Rattus norvegicus: one gene and its partners. The main gene of each other region encodes a partner of the protein of the gene in region 4 in a complex. Links are inferred from orthologs where the notes say so. Each region holds a gene or a part of one and is shown on either strand. Other genes may lie near its edges. The genes, in order: Plrg1, Rbmx2, Gpkow, Eftud2, Snrpd3, Rbm48 and Snip1.

Region 1 (3,416 bases), on a different chromosome or scaffold from region 4:
CCTTATTTGTCACAGGTAGAGGGGCCATGCCCTTCATTCCAGATAGAACGTGAGGCAAGAGAGCAACAGATGGGATGAAAGTCTGTCCGCAAGGAGCACTGGCAGAAGGTGTGAAAACAGCCCCTCCTGGTGCTAGAGTTTCACTAAGACACAGACAAAGAAAAGCTAATCAGCACAACACACTTACTGTAGCGGATGTAAGACCACAGCCCTGACTGACTTCTTATGATTCGTCAATGTGACTCGTGTCTTTCCAGCCACCAGATCCCATAATCGTATTGTGGTATCGTGACTTCCTGTAATAAAGGCACCCAGACAGAATCCCCAAGTTAAAACACAACAAAACACAAAGAATTCGTCTGTATATATCTATACACTAAGTGAAAGTCCTACCACTGTAAATAATTTCCTCAAAGTCCTAAAACTACAGTTACTTTATATTTGGTTCTTTGCAACTTTTTGCCTGAGGCTCTAAAGAGTGGCTAAGAGCCCTGCCTTCTCTTCCTGCAGGCCTAGGTTAGATTCCAGCACCATACAGTGAGGAGAACCATCTGTAACTGCAGCTCCAGCGACTCCGACCCTTCCTTCTGACCTCTGTGGGCACCACATATATGCACCACATATATGCAGGCAAAGCATACAAGTCTAAAAACCCTATAAATAGCAAATAAAAACCAACATGCAATTTTAAACTCCAGTGGCAGGGAAGGAAACAAAATGAGTCTTTCTATCTTAATATTTCTAGTTAACAAAACAAACCAACTGAAGAATTAACTTCCAGTCGAAGTAAAGATCCACTGTCATTCAAGTAAGATTCAAACTAAAACGATGGACATGGGGTTCTAGAATGACACTTGACTGTATTTTATAGCAGTTTTCTAAACAGCATTAACAATGCCTAACATATCCTATAATACATAAAAAGCACAAGGTAAAAAATATAAAAAAGCAAAGCAAATAAAAAGAATCTTAGAAAACATCATGCAAGCCTGCATTTCAAACACCCATGATTAAGATACAAAGAGAAACTAGAGCATAAGTCGGAGGTGGGGGAGCTCACGGCGGCTGCAGAATGGCGCGCGATGCTTCTGGTATGGCAGTGGGTGGAGAAGCAGATCGTACCAGTAATAATTTGTGGCTCTGCAGCTTGGCATCTCACGGTAGCAACTGCATTTGTGTGTCCAGACAAAGTGTGCACACTGGCTTTAGTTCTCACATCCCAGATCTGTAAAAGTAAAATCAACATGATATGAAAAAGAACAGGCATTCGGATCTCAAAGCTCTAAGCTTGCCAAACCAGTGTGTCTGAACATCGTGAAGGAAATGCGCAAATGGAGGACAATGACCCATGTGCTATGGGGATACAGTGGCCAAGGCAGAAAGATCAGGACATTCATCTATCAGCTTGGTCCCAGATGGGACTAGAGAATTAAACAGCTAACAGGAAACCACCGTGAGAGTCTAGACCAGTGGTTCTCAAGCTTTCTAGTGCTGCAAACCTTTAACACAGTTTCTCACATTGCAGAGACTCCAACCATAAAGTTATTTTCATTGTTACTTCATAACTGCAATTCTGCTACTGTTAGGAAGCAGAGCATAAATATCTGTGTTTTCTCATGGTCTTAGGTGACCCCTGTGAAAGGGTTATTCTAACCCTAAAGGGATCACACCCCAGGTTGAGAACCACCAGCTGAGACTATGAGGCTGTCATTATGTCAACATGATTCAGGACATTAACGACAGTAAACACCGAACTGAAGAGCGATAGCAAACGAAGAAGTCACGAATCCCAAGGGACCAGGTGAGTGATAAGTCAAGAACCTGTTCTCCTAAAAACATAAAACAAAACAAAAACCCACTAATACCAAGTTTGAATATGAGAAGATACAGGACACCTAAAAAAACCACACAACCACATTTCATTTACCCGAGCAGTAGAATCTCGACTACAAGTGACCAGGACATCGATTGTTGGATGCAAATCCAGACCATACACTGCACTTAGATGGCCATGATAGTGCCGTATAACCTAAAAATAAAAGTGGAAAAGTTACAATTTCTAGCATCAGAAACATCAACAGTGCGGCCCGGAGATGCAGTGCCAAGGCAAAGAGCTAACATAGCCCTCAAAGGGCCGGCAGTGAATAAAAACAAGCTCGATGGCTCCAGGCTTACCTTGTTATATTCAAGATCCCAACACTTCACTTGTTTGTCTTCTCCACAAGAGAACAAGTAAGGGCTCCTCGTGCTCACAATCACACCGCGTACTGTGCTGATGTGGCCAGTCAATGACAGCTTTAATTTGCCACTGGCCAAGTCCCAAATCTGAAATCAAGTAATTGTTCTGCTTTATCCTGGTTACTTCCCCCACCAACATAATACACTGACATAACAATAAATGTATACAGGGGAAATCAAGTCTCTTTAAAATGATCCCTCTCCAAATAAAAGCAGGGGAAAAGGCACATTGAAGCTGGGTAAATATTTGCAGAATATGGCAAGGTTACTGTTCCCAATTCATAAAAGAACAAAAAAATACCGACAAAGCATCATTAACTGTACCAGAGAGAATGGCAACTTAATCCAGAAAATACCAAGGACAAAAATGTTAACCTCACTACATGTCTGCATGTCTGCTTAAAATCAGACCTCTGTCTGTTTCCAGTGGTCACATCCCTGCACTTGTCTGAAGTGCTACACGACAACAGATCAAGCATCAGCTCACCTACTTTGGAGATAAAGCTGCGCTCCCTGTACCAGCTCAGACTTTTGTCCTAACCTTGTAGTTATGAGGGTCTATCAAACTACAACACACAATACACAAAGAGCAGTCTAAACAAATGCGGGCTATCACAAGGAAAAACCATCAAACTAAAAACTTTGACGTTGAACAATAGGGAACAAGTTACAGAATTATCTGCACATTCTACTCATGTAAAATACTGAACTTTTCATAATAGGCCTTCAAGATGATGCTGGGTGAGAAAAACAAGATTCAAAATAAACTAGGGATTTCTCCCAGGCATGGTGGTGCACACTGCCTTTAACCCCAGCACTCCAGAGCCAGGTGGGTCTCTGTGGACTTAACATTAGCCTGGTCTATTCGGCAAGGTCAGTCCGGCTACAGTCACAGTGAGACCTAAAGCAATTTAAAAGCTGATTCTTAAGCAGTACATCCATGTACACACCGATAAAGGGTTAACAGTAGATACACTGGCACATCAACACCAACTTTCTAAACCCAGTCCACCTGACGCTCTAACTGCAGTACCAGTCTGGCTCTCAGAGAACTTTCCACCACACTTCTACAGAGAACTATGCTTTCATCCTGTCATCACAGAAAACATACTTCTGTAAGTTACACAGAACCAACAGTAGGCAGTTAACATGCTTACAAAACAAGTTTGAATGCCACT
Region 2 (4,174 bases), on a different chromosome or scaffold from region 4:
CCCACACCAGCCAACCAATCAAGGGAAAGAAAAGTAAATGTCACCCACCCTACCCTGACAGACTTTAAATTGACCCTACAGAGCACACACCTAGGCTTTCATTTCCAAATGGGGAGACTCTTGCATGCAGGAAATTCTGCTGAATAAACACTCTTTGCTTTTGTATACTATTTGAGTCTGGGGGGTATCATTCTTCTGCTACTCTTGGACCCTAACACTCACAAAAAGGAACTCCTATTTTCTGTTTACATACTGATTTCTGGATAATTGTGATATGAATAATTATTAATTATATGATAATTATGATATGAAGTATTCAAGTACATATAGATTTCCCCTTATACCATTAGTTCTATGCATGCAGAAAACCAGTCCTCCAGATTCCTTCTATAGACCAACTGTACAGAACAAATTTAGATGCTCAATAAGGGATGATTAAATTAGCCTGACCTGATTGGTACAAGCTCAAGACATTTCAAGTTAAGCAAATTTTAAAAGATTTATTAGTTTTACTCATGTGTATGTATATCTGTGCATGCCATGGGAGTGCAAATGCCCACAGAAACCAGAGGAGGAGGATGGATCTTCTGAAGTTGGAGTTGTGAGCCACTTGTTTTGGGTGCTGGGATCTGAATACAGGTTCTCTGGAAAAATCACCAAATGGTCTTAACCACTGAACCACCTCCCTAGACATTCAAGCTAATTTGTTGAAGCTCAGTTTTTTTTTCCTCTGTAAAGTAGGGGTGGTAACTGTATTTCATGGGGTTGTTGGGAGGCCAGCTTGGTCTACAGAGCGATGTCCAAGACAGCTAGGGCTACACAAAGAAACCCTGTATGTAAAGAAACAGAGATTGAATGAAAAATGAAAATGGCAGAAACTGAGCCCCTTGGAGGCAGAGGTTTAGGGTAGGGGCAGCCACTGGTGTGAGACTTAGCCTGGGTTTGAGACCTAACAGAGACAACATGCATAAATTTTCTATCATTTGGAACCTTTACATTCTCTAACTCTTCAATTGTTAGGTACTAATTTGACAATGCTAATTTTTGCCTGCCTCTGGAAAAAGGCCACATCCGTTATTTAAATCTGTGGGCATTTAATTCAGACTGCAGAAGCACACGGATCCACTGTAACGCCCAGGTTCCCACCTTCGAGCTACACCAAAAAGGGAAGCAGGGAATAACTAGGGAACTATTTCGCCCCTGGAGCAAAAGCGTGAGAAAGCGCGTTTGCGTTACTGCGCATGTGCCGAGGCTTAGCGCGCCGGAAGTCCCGCCTCCATTTCCGTTGGCTCCAATCTGAGCTGAGTGTTCGGGTTGCGCGCGCGCTTCGGAGCCTCACCCGGAAGCTGATGTCTTAAGAGCGGAGCGCGAAGATGCGAATATGAAGTAAGGATTTAGTTTCTCTGAGGACAGGGGAGGGAGTTTCTCTGAGGAAGGGAGAATGGATTGAGGAGGGCCGCCCATAAGGGCGGGGACAGGTCCTCGCCTTCAGGGCCTCGGGGCGGGAGACGACCGGTACGTAGAAGGCGGGCTGTGAGGAAATGTACTTAAACGTCTTTCCCTTCTCCCGCACAGCCCTTTAACTAAGGTGAAGCTGATCAACGAACTGAATGAGCGAGAGGTTCAACTTGGGGTGGCAGAAAAGGTGTCTTGGCACTCGGAATACAAAGACAGCGCCTGGATCTTTCTTGGTGAGGTCTACATTTTTCTCTAGCAGTGCCTTTCAGAGTCTGTACCTCCCCTCCCCTCCTCCCCCTTCCTCCTGGTTGTTTAGCGCCCCTGGTCGTCACCTCTGAACACGCTGCTCGTCACCTCACACTCTTGCAGCTAGTCTGCTCACAGGTTCCTTTTTCACTTGGCCCCTATGATACTGCTTAGAAATTGGTATTTGCCATTCATTATATGAAAAATCTTGCCACTTGGTTGCTTAGAGACAGTTAACTCCCCAGGCAACCCATAGTGATGTCAAGGAAACTGAGGCGCACAGGGGTTACTGGGCTTGCTTAAGGTGCTGCATCACTCAAAACTATAGGGCTGTGTTCTTAGTCCTTATTGCATGTCTATTATCTGCCGTTTCTCAGAATTATTTTCCTCTTGTAAGTGGCTGCTTCTCCCAGTTCTTTGTTGTATTGTTAGGTACCAGAACAGACATTAACTGGCTTGGACGACATTGAGGGTTTCTCCTGCTTAACATTTGAAAGGCTATCTGAAAATGTGGAGGGATGTGAGCTTTGTTGTTCATTAAGGGAAAACTACTGATGAAAAGAATACAGTCTGGATTACACCCCTGGCCCTGGGTAGATACCGGGACATTTTCAGGAATCCTAAATGTTACATGCTTGTGTTCCCCTTCCTTAAGACAATCCAACAGGCTTTAAATTTTCTGGCCAGGAGTCACCTGTCAGGAAAGCTCAGTCATCTAAAGACACGCTAAGGACATGGGAGGGAAATGATCCCCAGTGCAGTTGTTACTGGTCTCTGTGTTAAGTCTACCTGTTATTCTGAGTTCTCACTTATCCCCTGCCCTCCCTTTCTGTCCATTCTCTGGATGCTGGCTGGAATCCTGAACATGCTTGCCCGGAACACTTTGGACTGTCTCATTCCAAATCTAAAGGCTCTCCTATCCCCTTGAACCACTCCTCTACCTCCATCTCTGTGCATTGCTGCTTGCTTGACCGCTAATTCAGAAGGCATGGCTGCTTCTTCTGCAGCTCCTTCATCCCAGTAGCTGCTGAAGCTTACAACTTGCTTCCCTATCAGCTCTCTCTCAAATGCTAATAAAATGGACCTCAAGCTTCCTCCTTAGTCTGCTTTAGAATTATATTATCAAGATAAGACATTACTAGCCTTTGTAAAAGGGGAACTCTTAACTCTCTGGTGACAATATTATTATCCTGTATTCACTTTATGTCCCAACCAAAATCCTGCAGTTTACCTTTGGAAAGAGGCTGTTGTAATAGGTATTGTGTTAAGCACTTTATATTCCTCATTTTACTTTATTTCTCTAACACTCCTGTGAGGCAAATATGATACCATCCCATTTTTACACTTGAGGGAAAACATGGAGGGAGGGGAAATTGTTTCCTATGAAATGCTTAATATTATCCCTTATAAATCTTAGCTTGCACATAAGTGAGGGTAATAATAGTATACTTAAACTTGCTGTTTATGAGATTGAGTCTTGTGCAGGAAATCACCTGCTTTATAGGATTTTTGGATGTGAGGATTCAAAGATAAAATTAATTTGGTGAGTGATGACCCCAGCCTTTCCACTCAGAGTTACTATTTTTTTCTCTTTCTCTTCTCTTCTTTTCTTTCCCTCCTTTCCCTTCCTTTTCTCCTTTTTTTCTCTCTCTCCCTCCCTTCCTTCTTCCCTCCCTCCTTCCCTCCTTCCCTCCTTTTCTCTCTCTCTCTCTTCCCCCCTCCCTCCCTCTGTACCTCCCTCTCCCTCTTTCTTCCTTTCTTTCTCTCTTTCTTTGAGGCAGAGTTTTACTATGAAACCACTGTGTAGACCAGGCTTGCCTGGAACTCACAGAGATCTGAGAGTTAATTACTTTCCTTCCGGACTACTGTCACTATACCCACTCATTCTATCATTGGATTAGACTGATATATTTGAGATTGTGGCTTGTTTAATCTGTACCTCCAGTGCCTAGCATGCAGTAAACACTTGCTTAATGTTTGTTGAACCCAAGTGTTTGTTTTCTTCTAGGAGGGCTTCCTTATGAACTGACAGAAGGAGACATCATCTGTGTGTTCTCACAGTAAGTCCTCTGTTGTTACCTATCTCCTGGGTGCATAGAACAGTTTGCTTCCATAGAGTATTTTTGTAACAGCAACAAAGCATTTCAAGCTGGGTGTGGAGTTGTACACCTCTATAAGAGGCTGAGGTAGGAAGATCACTTGGAGTGAGACCCTGCCTCAAAAAGCCATGAAAACCATTTAATTCTAGGCTGAATGACATCCATGCATGGGGAAGGCTAGAGTCTAGCTCAGTCCCAGGTTAGATAAGGTTCCAGAGAATTACCACATGGGAGATCCCAAAGCTTGGATCATTTGAGAGTCTGTCTGAGGGACTTTAGTCCGTTTCTGTCATTTTTACTGAGCTTCGTTCTGCATGGGCTTACATTGGAACAGACAGGCATTCAGGAAGATGCAGTATTGCCCCTTCTCT
Region 3 (4,260 bases), on a different chromosome or scaffold from region 4:
CACAAACATTTTATGAATAAAAGCTAAAACACTAGCCAGGCCCATTTAATTACAGCATTCAGAAGGCAGAGTGAGGTGGATCTCTGTGACTTCGAGGCCAGCCTGGTCTACATAAGTGAGTTCAGGACAGCCAGAGGAGCTCTGTTACACAAAGAAACCCTATGTCGAAAAGAAAAAAGAAAAAAAAAAAAAAGCTAAAACATTAAGAAGCTGAGCTCAAACTTTATTTCTACAAACACATTTTCCATCTCATCTGTTGTCATTTCTTCATTCCTTTATCATTACTCGGCACACTGCAAGATGCCTCAGAACTGATTTCCCACAAGGGTGGGTTTCTTGGGTTGTTGCTGCCATTCGGAGTCCCCAGTCTGATCATTCTTCTCTCACTAAATGTTAACTACCCTTCCAGTTCTCACTCCAGTCACTTCTATGTGTGTGTATCCTTACGACCTCTATTCTGGATTAGTCTACTCCCTTCCTGCCCTACCTTCACTTCCTAGTCATTTTTGGTCAGGGCAGACAAAGGGGACCCTGTTCTAACCCTGTCTGCTCAAGACTTCCCCTTAGCTCTCACTCCACTCATAGTAAAAGACAAAAGTCTGCTCTGTGGGTCAGAATGCCCTTTCTAATCTGGCCCCCTCTGCCTTCATCTACTGCCCACTCCCTCCCCATTCATTCCAATCCAGTAATAGGTTTCCTTAGTGCTCCTCAAACACTGCAGGCTAAAATCAGAACAAAGAAAAAAGAAAGAGGAAACAGACAAATGTGGTTCCAAACAGTGTACACCCTCATGGCATTTGTATTTCCTGTCCACTTTGTTGTCTACCTCATTCAGATAATCCCAGCATTCACGTACATTTTTAAACACCCTGCTTTCTGTTTTGTTAATGCTTCTAATAAGGGTGGAAGGAGGAAAGGCTAATTGGCAGGGCTTTGGGACATGCACACACACTTTCCCTGCTATGTGCAAGGAGACTAGGCAGACAGGGTAGAAGGAATAGTGTAGGAGGGAGGCAAAGGGACAGCTCACTGTCTCAGCCTGAGGTTCGCTGTATGTTCCTTCCCCAATGGGAGTACATCCTTTCTGGATCATGGGGATAGTGAGCGTGGGGTCAACACCTGCATTCTCCCTCTCCTCCAGAGACTTCTTGGATTCTAAGGAAGAATGGGAGGGATCAATGAGGCCATACCCTATCCTTCCAACTTCTTCCCCTTCTATCTGCACTAGGGCAGAGCAAAGAGGAAGGTTTTCACTCACCCTCAATGAGTTCCTTCACAGCCTGGGACAACACACCATCTGACGTCAACACGGTGCTTGTTTCTGAGGGCTTAGGGTTCTTGGACAGCAGTTGCCTGCGAGAGCCATTCTGGATCAATGGGATAACCAGCTCCTTTGGAGCTTCTGGAGGGTTCACACTGATGTGGATAGAGAAAAAGGGTTGTAGACATATTAGAAAGTAGAAATATCAGCCGGGTAGTGGTAATGCATGCCTTTAATCCCAGCAGCACTCAGGAGGCAGAAGCAGGAGGATCCCTGAGTTCAAGGCCAGCCTGGTCTACATGGAGAGACCCTGTCTTGACACCCCCTCTAAATAAAGTAAAAATATCAAGAAACAAAGAAAATAAACAATGGCCAGAAAGAAACAAACAAACAAAATAAATATCAATGCCTAGCCCTATGGACCATGTTCCACAGGTTACTATTAAAGGTCCACTCATCTTTTTTGAGACATCTCACGATGCATCCCATGCTGGTCTTATAAACTCTCAGTCAACCTGGTACAACTTCCTAGTGCTGGAAATACAACCAATACAAATGTATCATTTCTCTCCGGGGTCCCAGCTTTAAATGTGTCTTGTGCAAATCATTCTTAGGCCTTAAAGCATAATGACCTACAACTCACCACCTTTAGTCTAGCTTCTTAGTTCCAGGCCCATAAACTGCCGTTTAGAAGTCCCCCACTTAGGCCTCTAGGATCTTCCTTTCTTAATTATACTGATGATGGCCTCCCAAAACTTGACTTTGCCTCATTCTTCAAATCGGAGAAGCACCCACCATTTCAGTTGAGACAGGAAGAATCCTGTCATTCTCCCTCCTTTCCCTTTCTTAAAAGGCACACGACTTTTTCTCTGAGGAATTTATATCTCTGATTCTCAAGCCCCATTTCATCCACATAACAAACCTCCCTCTTCTTGCCCTTATTTTAGTAATTTCTTTGTTTTTTTTTTTTTTTAATATAGGCTCTCAAATTGCCCAGGTTGGCGTTCAATTCTTGATCCTCCTGCGCCAGCCTCCCAGGTCTTGACTTACAGGCATTTGCCGCCACTCCTGGTTACCTCCATAAATTTCCCGAAGCTGTTTCAGGCTTTCCAGGCCACTGTCACCAGCATAAATTTCTCTTACTCTGCCCTCCCGCTTAAGCCCATTTCACCGATTTCTAAAACGTGAAAAGACCCGGCGTTTCACCTTACTCTGCCCTCCCGCTTAAGCCCATTTCACCGATTTCTAAGACGTGAAAAGACCCGGCGTTTCACCTCTGCAGCTCCCTCCCTTCCACAGTCGCCAAGAAATCTTTCTTCTCTGGGGCCTGTCCTTCGCTGTCTCCGAGGTCTGCCAGTCGCCTCCGGACAGATGTGCGAGTGAAACCGAAAGAAATCGGAGCTGTGGACGCGGCAGCCGGTGGCGGACTCTCACGGCCCGCCATCTTGGCTCGAGTCCCAGGCGAGCGCTCTGCCTGCTGGGAAGTTTAACTCTAGTACCTTAAGGGCCGCCCAGGAACGCCAGAATCTATCCCAGAATGCAACGCCTCAAGAACAGGTGCCTTGAAGCCGTGGGAAACAGGAATTAGAGCTTGGGAACTCTTTAAACGTCATAGTAAGGTGCCGTACTAAGCATTCCGGGAAATGTAGTTCTTAGTGGTGTAGTCGCGGTGGAAGATTGATTAGGTTATTCCTGGGTATTAAACCGTTAGGAATTCAGTTCTACCCTCTTCCGACATGTACGCACACGATGTACATACAGGCAAAATATTTATATATACAAAACAAAATAAATAAATCTTGTATTTGACAAGCACATAATTTAATGTGCTTTTCCACAATGTGAATCTTACTGATGTAGAAAGTGTCAATAAGGTGAAAAACCAGGATTGTACCTGGGATGTGGTTCAGTTTGCAGTGCTAATAATTTAACTTAGGGCCTCGTCTAGGGAAGCACTGTACCATTAATCTGTATTCCTTTAATTTCTTTTTTTCTCTCCCATTCCCCAGTTTCTTATGCTTTCTTGTAAAGTGCCTTTGTTACACATAATCTCTATGTTGCACTTTTCTAACCCTTTTGAGCTTTTGGATGAGGCAGTGTCTTCTGGTTTTTGGCATGAAGAGCCAGGACCTTCTGGGTTGAAGCCTCTTTGCTTGACTCAGTTGCTTTTTTCCCCCAGCCAGAGCAGCACAACTGTTCATACTTAGCCCCCATATTTTTTGACCAAGATAACATTACAGATTTTCCATAACAGTGTTATAAATTATCCAAAACAGGAGATGAACATTTGTATAATGTTGCTTCTTTTTAATCACTGAGCCACACCCCTATCCCTGGGTGCGATTCTGTTAATTAAGCATTTTTTCCTTCTAGGATCCAGTTTTGATATCTCATACACTGCAATATAATTGTATGCCTCCTTTGTCTTCTGTAGTCTTTAGTGCTAGTTTTTTAGTCTTTGTCTTTACTGATTTTTCTTTTTTTTCTTTTTTTTTTTTTTTCGGAGCTGGGGACCGAACCCAGGGCCTTGCGCTTGCTAGGCAAGCGCTCTACCACTGAGCTAAATCCCCAACCCCGTCTTTACTGATTTTTAAAAATATAGCTCAGTTATTTTGAAGAACATAACGCCAATAAAGCTTGTTGTGTTAACTTTTCGCTATTAGTCTGAGGTTATAAGTTTGGGACAAGAATTTCAGAGGCAGGGCTAGAGAGATGGCTCAGCAGGGGAGGAAGGGGCCTATTGTACTTTTTCCCCATCAGTGATGGTTTGACGAGTTGCTTTGTTTACGAGGACAACAGCTGTTAGCATTTACTCTAAACTCTGTCCCACAGTTACTTGGCAACAGCTAGGTGTGCCAAACTGACTATAAAAGCGGCTGCTTGCCCCCTCCTCTCTCTCTTGCTCTGTTCTCTTGCTCCTGCTCCCCCTCTCTCCTCATTCCTCTCCCTTCCCTCTCCACATGCTCATGGCTTGCCTCTACTCTCTCTCTCTCTCTCTT
Region 4 (4,063 bases):
TGTGTGTGTGTGTGTGTGTGTGTGTGTGTGTCTGTTTGTCTATGTATAATTTTATACACATGTCTCCAAAGACAGCATTGGATCCTTTGGGAACATGAAGATTGCCATGTGAATGCTAGGATCTGACTCCAAGTCTTCATGGCTGCCTAGAAGTTACTCTTAAATTCTAAACCATCTTTCCAGCATCTTACTTTAAAAAAAAAGTTCTCAAAATATCACAATACAATCATCAAAACAAAAACATCAATACCAGCAGGTTATTCTACCTAATGCCAAGTTGAAAAACTGTTCCAGTCATGAATTATACAGCTAAGGACATAAACCAGGACTGTACACACCCTGAGGTATCTTTATCCTTTTAATCTAGAATGGCTTTCTAGTCTTGACTTTCACGACTTGACATTTTCAGACCACAAAGCAATGCTTTGTATCAGCAATCCCTTCGTGTGGATTTGCATCTGCTCTTAGCGGTACACCATTCCTCACTGATGATTCTCGCTGTGCCCTCAACTATGCTGACAGCGGACATGCTTGTTATAAAAGTACTCATTTTCCCTTAGTGATGATTAAGAACTCATTGTTCTTACTGCTCTTTCAAAGGACCCAGGTTCGAGTCTCAACATCCACACATTAGCTTACAATTGTCTGCAATTCCAGTGGATTTTTCCCCCACTTCAGTGACTGATATCCTGCTCAAAGGAACAGTTTAGATCCCACCCTTCAAGCTTTCCTAGCCCTTCAGCCTCTCACTTCTCACTCTCTTCAGTATCTTCTGTCCCAAATGCTAGGTGACTACTGTTATTCTCACCAACAACTCCTCTACAGTTTGTGAGCAACAAAAACCGAAGCAGGGGAAAAGCATCAGGCCCCTGGAGTTAAAGACCTCGCTCCATCGACCTCACTCCATCATCGTATCTCAGCCTCATCTCTAACGATGATGTTAACTCGTGGAACTGCATTTACCTCCCTAGAGTGAATTATCACAGCCTAAGACCTTAGAAAGGCGATGAATGTACCTAGCTATGCAGTCTGACGGCCTGGGTTCAATCCTGGAAACCCACGAAAAAGCCCCATCTGGTAGTGTGAGTGTCTGCGATTTCCTACAGGAAATGGGAGGCAGAGATTCTTTGAGGCTCAGAGCCAGTCAGTCTGGTGTTGGCAGTAACGAGGGGATCCTATCTCAAAACAGGTCAGGAGTGGAGGGACAAACCCTGAAGGTTGTCCTCTGACCTCTGCCTGCAAGCCACAGCACACCTGATCCTCATTCACCAGAGAGATTTGCAAACATACTCACAGAGAAACACACAACGTAAGATTAGCTGGGCATGAGAGCTTATACCCACGATCCTATCCTGAGATATGAGAGACCCTGTCTCAAAAAGTACAAATAAAGGGGTTGGGGATTTAGCTCAGTGGTAGAGCGCTTGCCTAGGAAGCGCAAGGCCCTGGGTTCGGTCCCCAGCTCCGAAAAAAAGAACCCCCCCCCCAAAAAAATACAAATAACAAATGTTGGTTAACATAAAACATGAGCATGTGTTCACACGCCAAAACCCTAGGCAGCACCTTGCACAAACAGACACCGAGTAAGGTTAACTGAGTAGAATGTTCAGTTTTGAAATTCTGTTATTTCTTACTGTAGACTGAATACCTCAGTGAGGAATGACTATAAATAAAATGCAGAATTAGAGTGCTAATCACTGGTAATTAAATGTCAGTCATTATGGAGACTCTGATGTAACTATTGTTTTTAGTTCTAAGAGGCCACCACAATTATGCTCAAGACTCCCACCAGAAAATGGCACAAATTTTCAAAGAAAGTTGTTTGCTCAACAAGCCAAGCTCATCTCTGCCTCAGGGCTATTGTCATTCCCATTGTCCTCTGGCTATTTATATCTTAATTCATTTAACTCACCCCTCTCCTTTAATGTCACCTATTTGCCACGCTAAAAATCCCTCCACATACACCTGTCAACCCAGCCTTACACTAATCTTAGTGTGTGGTCGGGTGATTAAGATCAAATTCTGGGCCTCACACTTCTCCACCGAGTTACACCCCCAGCCTAATAAATCAAGGTTATGCCTGAGTAGTACTTAGGAATACATGGGTGTATATCTGCTACTGACAAACGTTAATAATAAAAATCGGAGCAAAAAATGACAGTAGTGTCTGGGACAAAACAGGCCTTCAATACGTTTTGCTAGTTTTGTTTGTTGGGGGTGGGAGGATGAATTAGTTACATGCTTAGTTAAGTAAAGCTAGTCCCTAATACTAGAACTGCATCTTCCCGCTACAACACAGATCCTCAAAGGAATGCTGAAATCTTTTCTGTTTTGGCTTTTTGAACCAGACCCATTGCTTAGCCTTGAACCTGCACCAATATTCCTGCCTCTATCTCCAGCGAGGAAGAATTAGGCACCAGCTATCACAGCCAGCTTGGATGCAGAATAGTTTGAAGACGGACACAGTTTGGCTGTGAAGCAGGGACCGATAGAAGGGGGAGTGGCAGGGGTCTGGGTATTTACAGCGCCACCTCTACTAAGGCACAGGATCTTAACCACGCCGGGGACCACGGAAACGCTGGAATCGACCGTGTGAGCGTGTGTTGGGGGTCGGTGTCTTTCATTCCCTTCCCCACGCCAGAATTCAATTTACGCGTTGATTAAGCGAAAGGCATAATTCGCCTCTTCCCAAACTCGGGTTTCTTTGGTTCCCCAACCCCTGAGAATACCCTTCCCGGCCAGCTCACCCGCCGCCTGATCAGCCGAGGGCCACTAGTCCGCCGCCTGAGCCCGCGCTTCCGCCGCACGCCGCGACAACGCCGGCGCCCGTCGCCAGGAAGGACCCCGAGCGCGTCGCCGGATCGCCTCGCCTCGCAGGACAGCCCTCTGCCTGAGGAGCAGCTTCGAGGAATTTTGGCTTGGAGACAGAAACTGGAAAAGCCAATTTGTTGATCCTCAAAACGAAGCGTGAACTGTTTCAGAAAAACGCACGGTCGGAGGAGTCTCGGATCTGATCAGGCGCCTTGGGACAGCCCGAAGGGAGGGCCTTCGGGCTGGTCACGTGGGCGGGCTAGTGGCGCCGTTGCTAGGCAACAACCGCTGTTGGCTGGGCGATCCTCTAAGGTGTTCGTTCTAACAGATCGAGGGGCTTTTTCAAAAGAAAGCAAAAGGTCCAAGACTGGGGCTACTGGGTGAGGGTTTGGGGACAGTAAAGGGGATTACTCTAGGGGAAGGCTTAGAACTAGCCAGGGAAGTGGGCGGGATGGAGAGAGTCTATAGTCTCTATCGCTCCTGAGGCTGAGCCTAGAGGAAACATCATGAGCTCAGAAGTTTTGGAGAGAACTAGGCTACATAGCGAGATCTCCCCCACCCCAAAATATTGCATAGAATCTGAGACACTTGAGTACAATTGTTGGCTGGCTAACACAGCCCACTTCTTGGCTTTCCACTTCCCATCGATGGGATCCGGCATGGCTGTGGATTTGCTTGCGGATCAGCTCATTTCCTGCCCTAGGGCTGGCTGATCCTGAGTGAACTACAGCATGCAGCACCCGCTCACCAGGATTCTGAGGTGGAAAGAGGTATCATAAGTAAATGTCAGAACCCAGACAGGCACACATAGATTCCTGTGAAAACAGCCCCATCGGACACATACCACCAGAAGGGGGCAGAACTTCAGTGGTAGGACTGGAGATAATGCCACCACACATTTGCCTGCAGCCCTCCCCTGGTCAGGGATTTGGGAAGGAAGGCCACTGAGCTTTTCTCCCTCTGATAGTTCTCAACTTCCTGCGTTGCCATTGCTTTGGGTCTAGGTGATTTTTTTTCTCCATTAAAAACATTTAGTGAAGTGTGAAATTTTGTTCCTGAGCAGGAGTAGATAATAAAAGAAGCCCCCTCCTCTCTCTGTTCTCTCTCTGTGTGTTCCTTCCTTTATGGTAATAACCTGATATAGAGAAGTCCTAGGTGAAAGAATGAAGAATCAGAAATCTGAACTCCAAACTGCCCCCTCAGCTGAAGCACCAGATTGTGTGTGTGTTGTGGTTTTGTGGTTTGCTAGGGA
Region 5 (4,055 bases), on a different chromosome or scaffold from region 4:
AAACATGAGAGCCAGTCCACTTCTGCCTCCAGTCACTCCTCTTACTTGGGGAAACTTGCTCAGCATCATGCTGCAGTCTGAGGCTCCTTCTGCTCAATCTGCCTTCCTTTCTCTGGATTGAAGACTCTCCTGCTACCATCATTACTATTATCGACTTAATGGATTTAGAATTACTGAAGGAAGGGACAGGCACGTCTGTGAGGGATTATCTAGATTAGGTGGAGGTCAAAAGTAGAAACTGGGCTAAGCGCAGGCACTAATCTCTGCTTCCTGATTGCACATTCAATGCGACTATTAGCCTCCTCAAGCTCTTGCCATCACACCATCCTCTGCAACAGACTGTGTCATCACACTGTGAGTCAAAATAAATTCCTCCTTCCGTAAGTTGCTTTGGTCAGGAATTTGATCACAGCAACAAGAAAAGTAACCAATCACATGTGCTATCCCGCTCGGTCACTGACATCCTTCTGCCATTTCCCCAACAAGTCTTTTGTGGATTTAATTCTGGGTTGGCATTTACAGCACAGAGGATCCAAAACAACTCCATTCTCATTTTATAGAGGAGAGAACGAATGGCCAAGGTACCCCAGGTCCTATAATTGTGGCCCAACTCAATTTGAAATCAGAGAATTCTCTGATTCCAAAGCTCAAGTTCTTAATTAATGGGAGAAAAAAAATCCAAAACCATTTATCAAAACTCTGGTAGTTTTATCAGATGAACTTTCTCCAAGACAAAAGTAAACACACACATATGTGAGCAGAAAATTCTGCAAACTATAAACTGTGCTGGGAAGCGGACTCCGGTTCCGAACCTGACCTACTCTAGGAGCCGAGACAGACAGAACAAGTTAACATAACTGGTTGTTTTACGGACAGGTACTCGGCAACTGCATTTGGATAAAGGCTACCTGAAAGCACACATAGACCCAACCCCAGAGAAAACTAAGAAGAGAGGCGGGGCTTTTAACTCGGCCTTTTGACTCCCCACCAAAAGCAGTGTGGTCTTGTTGTAAAGCCCACACTGGCCTAGAACCCTCGAATCTACCCCAGCCTCCCAACTGCTGGGACATTCATGGACTACCACATCAGGCTGTCAAATGACTTTCCTGTCTCAAGACTAAGTCTACATTGACATATGATCTCACAGCCTGTCAGAGTGCCTGACAGGTAGTAACTGTCTGGTAAGAATAACTTCATTAAGACCTTTTTATCCCCCAGGATAGAAGCCACCGTTCTTTCACAGCCCCGGGTGCAAAGCAGGATACCTGGCAGTTCATGTTGTCCTCTGCCTCAATGAGCTTCCCCCGATACACTTCACCAGTGTTGGTCTCACATGTCACTATGTGGCCTTCCGCTTCGTGCAGGACTTTAATTGGCACACCGATAGACATCTTGGCAGGACTCTTCCTATGGGGCAGTGAGAGAGACAATGGTTACCTTTCGGAGCCTAAGGACTGGCATTCCACAGGCTCTGCAGATTCTGTCACGGCTGCATTTTCTGTGGAAGGAGTCTGGCTCTTGGTTTGAAGGACCCACGACGGCAAGTTAGCCCAACATGTAGGGTAGGGAAGGATGGTAAACTGGACAAAGAAAGCCAATGAATGGGATCAGAGTACCTCCCTTCTTTTTTCTTTTTTTTTTGGTTCTTTTTTTTGGAGCTGGGGACCGAACCCAGGGCCTTGCGCTTCCTAGGCAAGCGCTCTACCACTGAGCTAAATCCCCAACCCCGAGTACCTCCCTTCTCACCCAGTCATATGTCCCTCTCTTTATAATCATTTAAACAACTATGATATGGACCCCGACCAAATAACTGTTTACACGTAAACAAAATGCAAATGAAAACAAAAAAAATCTGTCCCTCAGCCACACTAGTCATATTCCAATCACTCAGCAACCGCATTTGGATAAAAGCTACAGTACCTGATAGTACAAAGAGACCTAAACCCAGAGAAATCCAGGAAAACAGGTTGTGCTTTACAATTTAGCTTTTTGACTCCCCACCAAAAAGCAGACCAAAAGCGTCACGGCAACATGCTATAAACAGGAAATGCTCATCATTCAGGGAAATAGGGTAAACGCTCGACTTAAGTCTCATTAAAAAAACAAAGACTATGCGCAGGGCTTTTACATTTCTGAGACGGGAAACGACACTAGACGGAGCACACGGCCCATTTTCATGAGAAGACTATAAGGATGCTAAACATGGTGAGGAACCACGGCTTTCAACTTTAGGAGAGTGCTGAAAATGGTAGGGAAACACTACAGGATTATAGGCAAGGGCTTAAAAAAAAACTAGTAGCATCTACAAAGTGGATTAAACATATAGCAGAGCAATCTGCTGAAACGTCTGCAGCAGCGTGCAAAGCAGGAGGGGAGGCCAGTACAGGAATGGGAGTGGCGCAGGGATGAAAAGGACGTTGAAAACGAAGATCCGGAAGGCAAGGAGATAACTAGCAAGAAAGGACTGCCTGTAAGCTTCGAAAATCGGTGACCTGGAAAGGCACAGAACGTGCTGGCTAGGCGTAAATAAATAACTGTTCCTAGGATTAGTGAGATGATATTTGGATAGGCCCTGGCTTCCCGCCCTCCGCTAAGCCCCGCTGAGCTCCTCCTCCGCGTCCCTTTCAGCTCCTAAGCCTCTGGAGAGCCCTGGCCTCCCCTCTCCCGTTAGCCGCCTCTCCTCACCAACTAACTGCAGGCTTTTTTTTTTTTTCGGTCCCGGCACAAACGTTAGAAGGCGAAGGCTTGAGGCGAGGAAACGACGGGCCCGAGTATCACTCACACCACGCGCTCCCAGAATGCCTTGCGCAGGCCCCTCCCTTTCCTTTAGGCCTACTTACCCTTTACTCTCACTTAGCCGGCTGGGGAACCCAGGCCTCTAGCACTATAGTTCCGGCACTGTGGAGGGCCCGAGGACCGCCGGAAACATCAATCCTCGAGCCCACAAAGGAACATGGGGACCCACGCTTACAGAGTGCTGTAGTGACGGATTGGGCAGGATCTGGGCTTGCGCCCAATGCTCTGGGTAGACAGGAAGTGAGGCTTGGATTAGAAATTTAAACTTTGGATCCGGTCACCGTCAGGTAAGGGACACACCGAGCCCTGGGAACTATCTTTATTCAAGGTCAAAGTAAGAAGACCTAAAGGGAGTAGGAAAAGGATTCTTTGGAGTCTCGACGAGGCATTGCGAAGGACCAGAGCCTACAACTGAGGCTGCAAAAGAGCAGACCTAGTGGCGGGAGAGTGCTAGGTTGTTTGTGGGGAGCCAACGTCGCCCCGGGAAAGGCTCTGGGGGCGGGGGCTCGGGCAGGGGCGGGGCTAAGGAAGGGCGGGGCCGCCGGAGCGTTTAAGGGAAGGACCGGCCGGGAGCGCAGTCTGGAAGAGAAGTGGGTAGAAGGGAAGAGGTGTGGCTTATGGAAGGGGCGGGTTTCCAGCGCCCAGACCTGGAAGGGATTAGGCGTGGCTTGAGGCGGCCTCGCCACCGCCTACCCGGGTCTGAACCGCGGTGGCCGCGGCGACGGCGGCGGAGGAACTCTACGCTCACTGGCCGAGCTCTCCGCCCAGCAGAAATCGCAGCGGCAATCAGCTCCAGGCCGGGGCCATGGGCGCCCTGCGCCACCCGGGTCATGAGAACGGAGGTAGAGGCAGCGGGGCAGCCGCTCGAGCCGGGTCAGTGCCTCTCTAAGGGGGAACCGAGGGGGGGGGGGACTCCGCCCTGGAGCCGAGCAGGGTCTGGCAGCGTGCGACCTTGGGTCGTCTGCGGCCTCAGCCCAGCCTGGAGCCTCTAGTGGGTCCTAGCTAGGTGGATATTCCTTCTCATCTCTTATCCTCAACTTATGGTTGTTCTGAGTCTCCCGGGGTTTGAAGCCCAGGGAGTTCTGAGAGTGGTCAAGTGGAAAAGTCCAAGGGGCAAAAAGGCACAACCTTGCTCAGAAACGAATAGCCCTGCTTGAAGCACGTTGGGTGATCCTGTTTCCCGGGGAGCTGTGGAAAGCCTGAGGCCGGGAAGGGGGGGAAAGAGGGGCCTGAGAGCACTCAACAAAGGGGCGGGAAAG
Region 6 (4,126 bases), on a different chromosome or scaffold from region 4:
ACAGTGAACTAAGCTGGAATTTGGTGACAGTGACTGATTCCTTTTAGCCAACAGAAAGCGAACTAGACAGTTAAAGAATATTTAATATTTGGTGAAGACAAACTAATTAACAATAGGAATAATTCCGATGAAATTGGTGTGTTTTGATAGGCGGACTGTAAAAGCAAGATAAATCAAAGAGGAAATAAAGGTGGAATACAAGTCATTTCAAACTCTTGGATATTTCTTTTATGAGCCAGTATTCCGCTACCAAGCACCTAGGACTTTAGATTTCAAATAGTCTAACCCCATGAATACACTCAAACTAGAGAGTCTGTGCTCACTCTTAATAAAACATGGAGGCTGTCTCTCCACCGATGGAGTAATCCTGGCTTCGCAGGTGAAAGTACGAGGTGTGAATAATTCCATTGCCTTGTCACCCCCCCACCCCTTGTGGTGTCCGAAGTCCTCCTAAGCAGGGAGAGCTGTCACTTTATTAACCTTTGGCACAGGTTGGAAACCTTGGTAATCTACCAATCAAGTCTGCCACTCAATGCTTCTATGGCTGCACTGGCAACTTGTTGGCAGGATAACGCTTTAGCAAAACCAGTAAGAGCTCTCTAGAGCTTTCCATCCTAGAGTGAGGACCGCTTCTGAATGCTGAGGCAGAACCCTAGTATGTTCAGTCTGGTTTAACCGAGTTAAAAGGGTGCCCAGTAGGGTCTGGGGATGCACTAGTCGGGGTGTAGGTGCACACACTGCCTCCCCACGCCATGCCCGCAGAGGGCCCTCGCTCACGCCTCAGTGCGGGTTCGGTGGCAAACACTGTCCGGACCGGGAAAGGTGTCAGCGAACACTAGTCCCACAAGACATCGATGGTGTCCGCGTCCGGTCATCGCGTTACCTGCAGCAGGTGAAGCTGGGCCACGAGGTGCCGTGGCAGATGGAGGAAGCAGTCCCGAGCATTCGTGAAGGCCACCGTCACGACCGCCCCACCAGACCCCGCACCGGCTAAGCGATCACTGCTCCACATTGTCCCAAGGTTCAACTCTCGCCGGAGAGCCGAGTCCGCCGGCTTCCCGTCAGGCCAGGGCGTCGGAGCCCGAGAACATCGATCGGGGCCGCCCCCCTCTTCACTCGCCTGACCGCTGTCACTCTCGGATCGCTCCTCCGAGGCTCTAGGGGGCGGCACATCGCTCGTCGAAGTCTCGCTCTCCGGAAACAATCGTCGATGGGGTCGATCCTCCAGCCAATCCTAACACGCTTGGCCCATACTGCTCTCTCATTGGACACAAAGGAGCACCGCTGGCGGATGTTGTTCTGGCGCGGGGGCTTGAAGCCGGCAAGATGGCCTCCAGTGACGGGAAACCCGGTGGCATATTCGACCACCACGTCCAGACAGCTGTGTGTGACTCGCGGGCCAAATACAGGGAGGGCCGACGCCCTCGCGCGGTCAAGGTAGAGTGACTTGGGTTCCTTCTCTCTCCTCGGCAGGAGCATTAACTTCCTGTCAGCACTAGCTCTCCATGGCCTGCCTCCATAAAGGCACGGCAGGGATGCTGTCAAGTCCATCTCTCAGTGGAGGGGGCACGAGGAACAAAGTTTATCGCTGTTGTCGGTTTACTGCTTACTCCACGATTTTTAGCTTTGCATCCTATAATACAAGGACAAGGTCTCACAGGACAAGCCCTGTTAAGTGACTGTTTACATTAGCTTCTCTGGGGTCAACTTTGGGAAAAGACGTCTGTTTAGTCAGATACCCTTATGTGGAGTGTGTTATTCTTTAGGCAGAAAGAGTGACAGTTTTGTGTGTATGTTTTGCAGACCATATTGAGCAGAGTATTTCTTGTTTTCAAAGCTCCATTTAAAAGAGGGATGGGAAGACAGATTTGCCATAGGCTTGTTTGAAGAGTACGTTTAACGGGCTCTCCCCCGACTTTAGGTATATACCATCAATTTGGAGTCTCAGTACTTACTAATACAAGGAGTTCCTGCAGTGGGAGCCATGAAGGAATTAGTTGAGAGATTTGCTCTCTATGGTGCGATTGAACAGTATAATGCTCTAGATGAATACCCAGCAGAAGATTTTACAGAAGTTTATCTCATTAAATTTGTGAAATTACAAAGTGCAAGGTATGTACAAGTTAAGCAGAACTCGCGTCTTCTATTCCTGTTGCCGTCATTTCGGCCTCAGGATTTCCCAAACAGACCCAAATCACATGAGCACTTCTCACTCTCAGTCTTCCTGATTTGGGGGTTGGGGAGCAGGGTTTATTTGAATAGCTTTAGCTGTGCTGGAATTAGTTCGATAGACCAGGCTGGCCTTGAACTCAAAGAACCCTTTGTCTCTGCCTCCCGAGTGTTGGGTCCAAAGGTGTGCAACACCCCATCTCGCCTTCTGGTTTAGTTTTTACCAGGCCTCACATATGCAGTCAGTCACTCTAACAGTGAATGATATCCCAGCTCTTCCTTCTGATGTTCGAAAGGCTGACTTTACAACACTTTTCCCATCCTGTGCTTGATGGTTTCTGAACCTGGAGTGTGGTAGATTTGGGAGATGAGGAATTACATTTGAAGCACATTTCCAGTCCTATGGCTTCCTGACTTTGGAGAATTTTATTCCTGCCAAGCACATTTTTTTTTCTTTTCCTAAAATCCACAGGGCAAAAAGGTCTACTTCTTGAGGTTCACTGAGGAAGGATGAAATGAAACAATTTATGTAAAAGGATTAGACTGGTACCTCCTATTAAGAGTAAATATTAGAGCCAGGCAGTGGTGGCACAGGCCTTTAATCCTAGCACCTGGGAGGCAGAGGCAGGTAGATTGAGGTCGAGGCCAGCCTTGTCTACAGAGCTAATTGCAGGACAGCCAGAGCTACCCAGAGAAACTGTGTCTCCAAAAAAACAAACAAACAAACAAAAAAAACCAAAAAACAAAAACAAAAAGTAAATATTAGTAATGACAGTTCTTATTAGTATGGTTCTATGTTAATCAACCTTGTATTCCAATAAGACTGAAGTCAACAATGCTTTATTTTATGTTAACCCTTTGGGTGGGGGAGTGTGTGACTGTAGGTGGGTGCACGCCTGCGTGTGTAAAACTTGCTATGTAGGCCAGCTGACTAGAACTCAACTTCCTCCTGAATCTGCCTCCCCATCCCCACCAGGTTTAAAGACATGTACCACTACAGTGTACTCTACCCTATGTTTTGAGACGAGACCCTTATTGAAACTAGAACTCATGGCTAGATTGGTTGGCCATCAGGCTCCAGTGGTCTTACCTTCTCTATCTCGCCAGCACAGGGATTATAGGCACAGTACGGTGCCTAGTTTTTATGTGCACGCTAGGGATCTGAGCCTAGCTACTCAAGCTTAAACAAGTACTTTTTCAACTGAGCAGTCTCCCTAGCTCATGTTAGCCATTTTTTCTTTTTAATCATTAACATGATCTAAACCATATCCTTCTCTGGCTTTTGCCATTTATAAATGTTTTGGTGGAAAAGGGCTTCAAATCCTCTGGCACTGGAGTTACAGGTGGTTGTAAGCTATCCAAAATGGGTCTGGGATTTGAATCTACTCTTCCCAAAATCAGCAAGTGCTCTTATCACCCACCTAATTATCCCTCCAGCCCCTGTGTTTCTTTTGTTCGCTACTCCTAGTCCACCACAAAATCACTTGACTTCAAAAGGCCATGTGCCTTTTCTTACCAAGTGGGCAACTCTTCGTGGTATAGAGAGCAGATTCTCTAGCGCCTTGTATCTCTACAGACCCTGATACAGTTGGCTTTGGAGTCAGCCATCTGAGTTGAATCCTAGTTTTATAGATGAATGTATGTGACCCAGAATTTCCCGGTGCCTTGGTTTTACCATGAGATGGTTATGAGATGTCAATTTAAGTGGCACACTTGTGGCTTTGCATGGAGTAATCGCTCAATAAACATTAATCATTATCTGTAGATACAGAAGTACTTAATTACTTACAGTGCTTGGTTCAGCATAGGTGTTCAGCATTTCTTTTTTAAACATTATTATTTCTCTTATTTTTATGTGTATGTGGCGTGGCTATTTGTTAATTGTTTTTGAACCATGTAACTTATGCATTTCTTTAGCATTCTCTTTAAGTTATGCATTTCTTTTTAGGATAGCTAA
Region 7 (2,488 bases), on a different chromosome or scaffold from region 4:
AGTAGGAGGACAATTATTATGGAATCTCAGACAGAAAACCTTGTCTGAATTGAGAAAAATACCCAAAGTACAATGTGCTTTCTGGACACAGTAGGGATTGTATGAGTCTCTGTGAAGTACATTCCTGCCCTGGCCAGCCTCTAGCCCTGAGGACAAGTGACCCCCTGACTATACAAGCAAGAAAATCTACTCAGCAGCATCCTGAATCCTAGCCTCAGGGAAGCTAAGAGCAGCACAGGTAATACGATCACTTCCACCTGAGGAGGAAGTGGTCCTGATGTTGTCACCAAATGCACAGCACTGACACAAGTCCTCCGGACAGCTCATGACCCATGCCCTCCTTGCTGAGATAAACAGTTCCTGTTCAGTACTTCAGGTCTCTCCCTACAATTCCCTACACACATAGTACTGTTACCTCAAAACAGTTTACACAGACTCCTTTGGAAACAAACACACCTATGAACAAGTCATTTATGTGAGAAAAGTAATACCCTCTAAAATGAGGCTATATTTACAAATTTTATTTTTTTAATCTCAAAAATACATATAAATGAAAACCTGCTCTCCAAATGCAGACAGGCCTTTGCCTATCATGTGGTATTATTTATATCACAAAACACTGTCATATGAAAATCAGCACATAGCTCTGAAGCACACAGACCGGAAGGAAGGAGTATCTTTCTACTCACACAGACCCCAGGTGGGAAGACCTAGGCTGTCCCTTACTTTCTACCCTTGGAAGTTGAATACGAACACATGGTCAAAGATGAAGCAGAAATATGGAAGCTACATGACTTCCTTTAGACACATATACACCCAGAGACCCCAGCAAGGCCCCGCCCAGAAAGTCAGTGTAGTGTTTCTCAAAGGGAGAAGAGAGGTGACATCGGAATAAAAATGCAAAGCTGAAGAAAAGACCAGATGATCAAACCATTATGTCTGCTTCATGGAGCAATCAGGAATCCTCAGAGGATGCGGATCTACAGCCCAGTGTATGACATGACACCAGCACCTGTCAGTAGAAGCCATGACCTCCCTACAGTCATGTCTACACAGGCATCACAGTGTCTGTTTATCGCAGACAGCCAATAAAGAGGTCACGTGGTAAACTGTCACCCCCCAAAAAAACGAAGTGCAAAACCAACTTCTGTGACTCAAGAGCTGAACCAGGTCAAAGCTTTGGTATATGCTGGAGGTTGTTTTGGTGACATCCAAAGCTGACTGAGATTCTCTACTCTAGGGTTTGTCCCCAAAACAAAACTCCTGGTTCACAAAGCTCAACAACTATATAAATAAGAAACTGTACAAAGAGAAGTCACAATCCCCTTTCCAAGGGCTGTTTCCTATGGCAGCAGTTCTGAAGGCACCCACCGCAGCCACACACTCTGACCAAACTCGACATGCTGTAATTGGTGAGATTCTTCTGAAAACAAGCGCCCACAGGCAGGCCGCTGCTGTGCCAAGTTCAACAAAACACGAAGTGACAGCTCTCATACTGCAACATAAGCTGGGCAGCAATAGAGGAAAGACTTAAGGCAAGAAGAGGCGCTGGAGTCACCCCACGGCCTCCGGTAGGGACGGTTTCTAATAGTGGAGGCTGCTTCTCAGCTGCTGTCAGACACCATTTCCTCCTCCTCCTCCTCATCTTCATCTTCCTTCCTGTCAAGTTCAGAGGTGTCTGAAGACTCATGAAGCAAGACATATTCTCTGCTGCTGAACCCAAATTTAAGTACATCTTTTTCTTTCAGTTCATAGTATCTCTGTGGCTCAATACGCTTGTTGTTCAAGAATGTTCCGTTGCCTGAGCCAAGGTCAATGATGTAGGGCTTCACCCTCCGACCAACCGTCCCATCAGCACGGGTGTACTCCACAAGCCTAGGAGAGACCAAGGAGAGAAGTGTGTGAGCCATGTCCTACCAGAGACCACCTACCTTCTTTAAAGCTCTCTGCTACAGATTTACACATCAGTGGCCTGGCTTGAACAGGATTCAAACGAAAACTCTAGGACATCACAGGGAAGTGCTGCGCTGATAAGGAAGTTTAGAGCACTTTACATAACAAGGAGAAAAGGCAAAGCTGACTGTGGCTGGTAGATGGCGATGGAGGGCCACAGAGGTCCCAGTGCAGAACTCGAGGCTTCTTGCTATTTACGCAAAGACTTTCTCCAACACTGCACATGATTTCAGCACCAGCCCGAATGAAGGGAAAACAGAATTAGGAACTGAGAGCCAAGGGCTAGATGTGGACAGAGTTTTGCTCTAAGATTGCTTTCTGTACTGAGCTGCAGTTTTCTCTCCTGTTAGATAAGGATGTTACCACTGAACCGCTTTCCTCACAGGTTGAGTATCAAATGGTAAAGATGCATTCCCAAACAGCAGATTCTGCTAGCATTTATCTGGCATCCAGACTCTGGCCTTTACTTATTTCTATTTGGTCCTCAGAAAGCCCTGGGGGCAGGTGGAGACAGGACAGGACCGCAGCAGGAGTC

Evidence for each region.
Region 1: Eftud2 (region 4) and Plrg1 share a complex: the UniProt entries of both Homo sapiens proteins name them as parts of the minor spliceosome. The link is inferred for Rattus norvegicus from reciprocal best matches to the Homo sapiens genes EFTUD2 and PLRG1.
Region 2: Eftud2 (region 4) and Rbmx2 share a complex: the UniProt entries of both Homo sapiens proteins name them as parts of the minor spliceosome. The link is inferred for Rattus norvegicus from reciprocal best matches to the Homo sapiens genes EFTUD2 and RBMX2.
Region 3: Eftud2 (region 4) and Gpkow share a complex: the UniProt entries of both Homo sapiens proteins name them as parts of the minor spliceosome. The link is inferred for Rattus norvegicus from reciprocal best matches to the Homo sapiens genes EFTUD2 and GPKOW.
Region 5: Eftud2 (region 4) and Snrpd3 share a complex: the UniProt entries of both Homo sapiens proteins name them as parts of the minor spliceosome. The link is inferred for Rattus norvegicus from reciprocal best matches to the Homo sapiens genes EFTUD2 and SNRPD3.
Region 6: Eftud2 (region 4) and Rbm48 share a complex: the UniProt entries of both Homo sapiens proteins name them as parts of the minor spliceosome. The link is inferred for Rattus norvegicus from reciprocal best matches to the Homo sapiens genes EFTUD2 and RBM48.
Region 7: Eftud2 (region 4) and Snip1 share a complex: the UniProt entries of both Homo sapiens proteins name them as parts of the minor spliceosome. The link is inferred for Rattus norvegicus from reciprocal best matches to the Homo sapiens genes EFTUD2 and SNIP1.

The regions. Positions count from the first base shown.
Region 1 is NC_086020.1:170,716,188-170,719,603, reverse strand, and holds part of Plrg1 (pleiotropic regulator 1), read right to left. Parts: intron 2,326-3,416; coding exon 2,176-2,325; intron 2,030-2,175; coding exon 1,928-2,029; intron 1,226-1,927; coding exon 1,123-1,225; intron 297-1,122; coding exon 188-296; intron 1-187. UniProt on the Homo sapiens protein: Involved in pre-mRNA splicing as component of the spliceosome. Component of the PRP19-CDC5L complex that forms an integral part of the spliceosome and is required for activating pre-mRNA splicing.
Region 2 is NC_086039.1:132,765,021-132,769,194, forward strand, and holds the start of Rbmx2 (RNA-binding motif protein, X-linked 2), read left to right. Parts: upstream 1-1,374; 5' UTR 1,375-1,381; coding exon 1,382-1,386; intron 1,387-1,575; coding exon 1,576-1,691; intron 1,692-3,712; coding exon 3,713-3,764; intron 3,765-4,174. UniProt on the Homo sapiens protein: Involved in pre-mRNA splicing as component of the activated spliceosome. As a component of the minor spliceosome, involved in the splicing of U12-type introns in pre-mRNAs.
Region 3 is NC_086039.1:17,475,499-17,479,758, forward strand, and holds the start of Gpkow (G-patch domain and KOW motifs-containing protein), read right to left. Parts: upstream 2,801-4,260; 5' UTR 2,706-2,800; coding exon 2,536-2,705; intron 1,417-2,535; coding exon 1,259-1,416; intron 1,156-1,258; coding exon 1,031-1,155; intron 1-1,030. UniProt on the Homo sapiens protein: RNA-binding protein involved in pre-mRNA splicing. As a component of the minor spliceosome, involved in the splicing of U12-type introns in pre-mRNAs.
Region 4 is NC_086028.1:88,343,358-88,347,420, forward strand, and holds the start of Eftud2 (116 kDa U5 small nuclear ribonucleoprotein component), read right to left. Parts: upstream 2,801-4,063; 5' UTR 2,748-2,800; intron 1,096-2,747; exon of another isoform or gene 1,017-1,095; intron 1-1,016. UniProt on the Homo sapiens protein: Required for pre-mRNA splicing as component of the spliceosome, including pre-catalytic, catalytic and post-catalytic spliceosomal complexes. Component of the U5 snRNP and the U4/U6-U5 tri-snRNP complex, a building block of the spliceosome.
Region 5 is NC_086038.1:13,142,121-13,146,175, forward strand, and holds the start of Snrpd3 (small nuclear ribonucleoprotein Sm D3), read right to left. Parts: upstream 2,801-4,055; 5' UTR 2,686-2,800; intron 1,408-2,685; 5' UTR 1,392-1,407; coding exon 1,266-1,391; intron 1-1,265. Other genes in the region: protein GUCD1, read left to right, coding at 3,414-3,669. UniProt on the Homo sapiens protein: Plays a role in pre-mRNA splicing as a core component of the spliceosomal U1, U2, U4 and U5 small nuclear ribonucleoproteins (snRNPs), the building blocks of the spliceosome.
Region 6 is NC_086022.1:31,512,601-31,516,726, forward strand, and holds the start of Rbm48 (RNA-binding protein 48), read left to right. Parts: upstream 1-1,326; coding exon 1,327-1,437; intron 1,438-1,921; coding exon 1,922-2,112; intron 2,113-4,117; coding exon 4,118-4,126. Other genes in the region: peroxisomal ATPase PEX1, read right to left, coding at 884-1,012. UniProt on the Homo sapiens protein: As a component of the minor spliceosome, involved in the splicing of U12-type introns in pre-mRNAs.
Region 7 is NC_086023.1:142,618,515-142,621,002, reverse strand, and holds the end of Snip1 (smad nuclear interacting protein 1), read right to left. Parts: intron 1,876-2,488; coding exon 1,605-1,875; 3' UTR 501-1,604; downstream 1-500. UniProt on the Homo sapiens protein: Required for pre-mRNA splicing as component of the spliceosome. As a component of the minor spliceosome, involved in the splicing of U12-type introns in pre-mRNAs. Down-regulates NF-kappa-B signaling by competing with RELA for CREBBP/EP300 binding.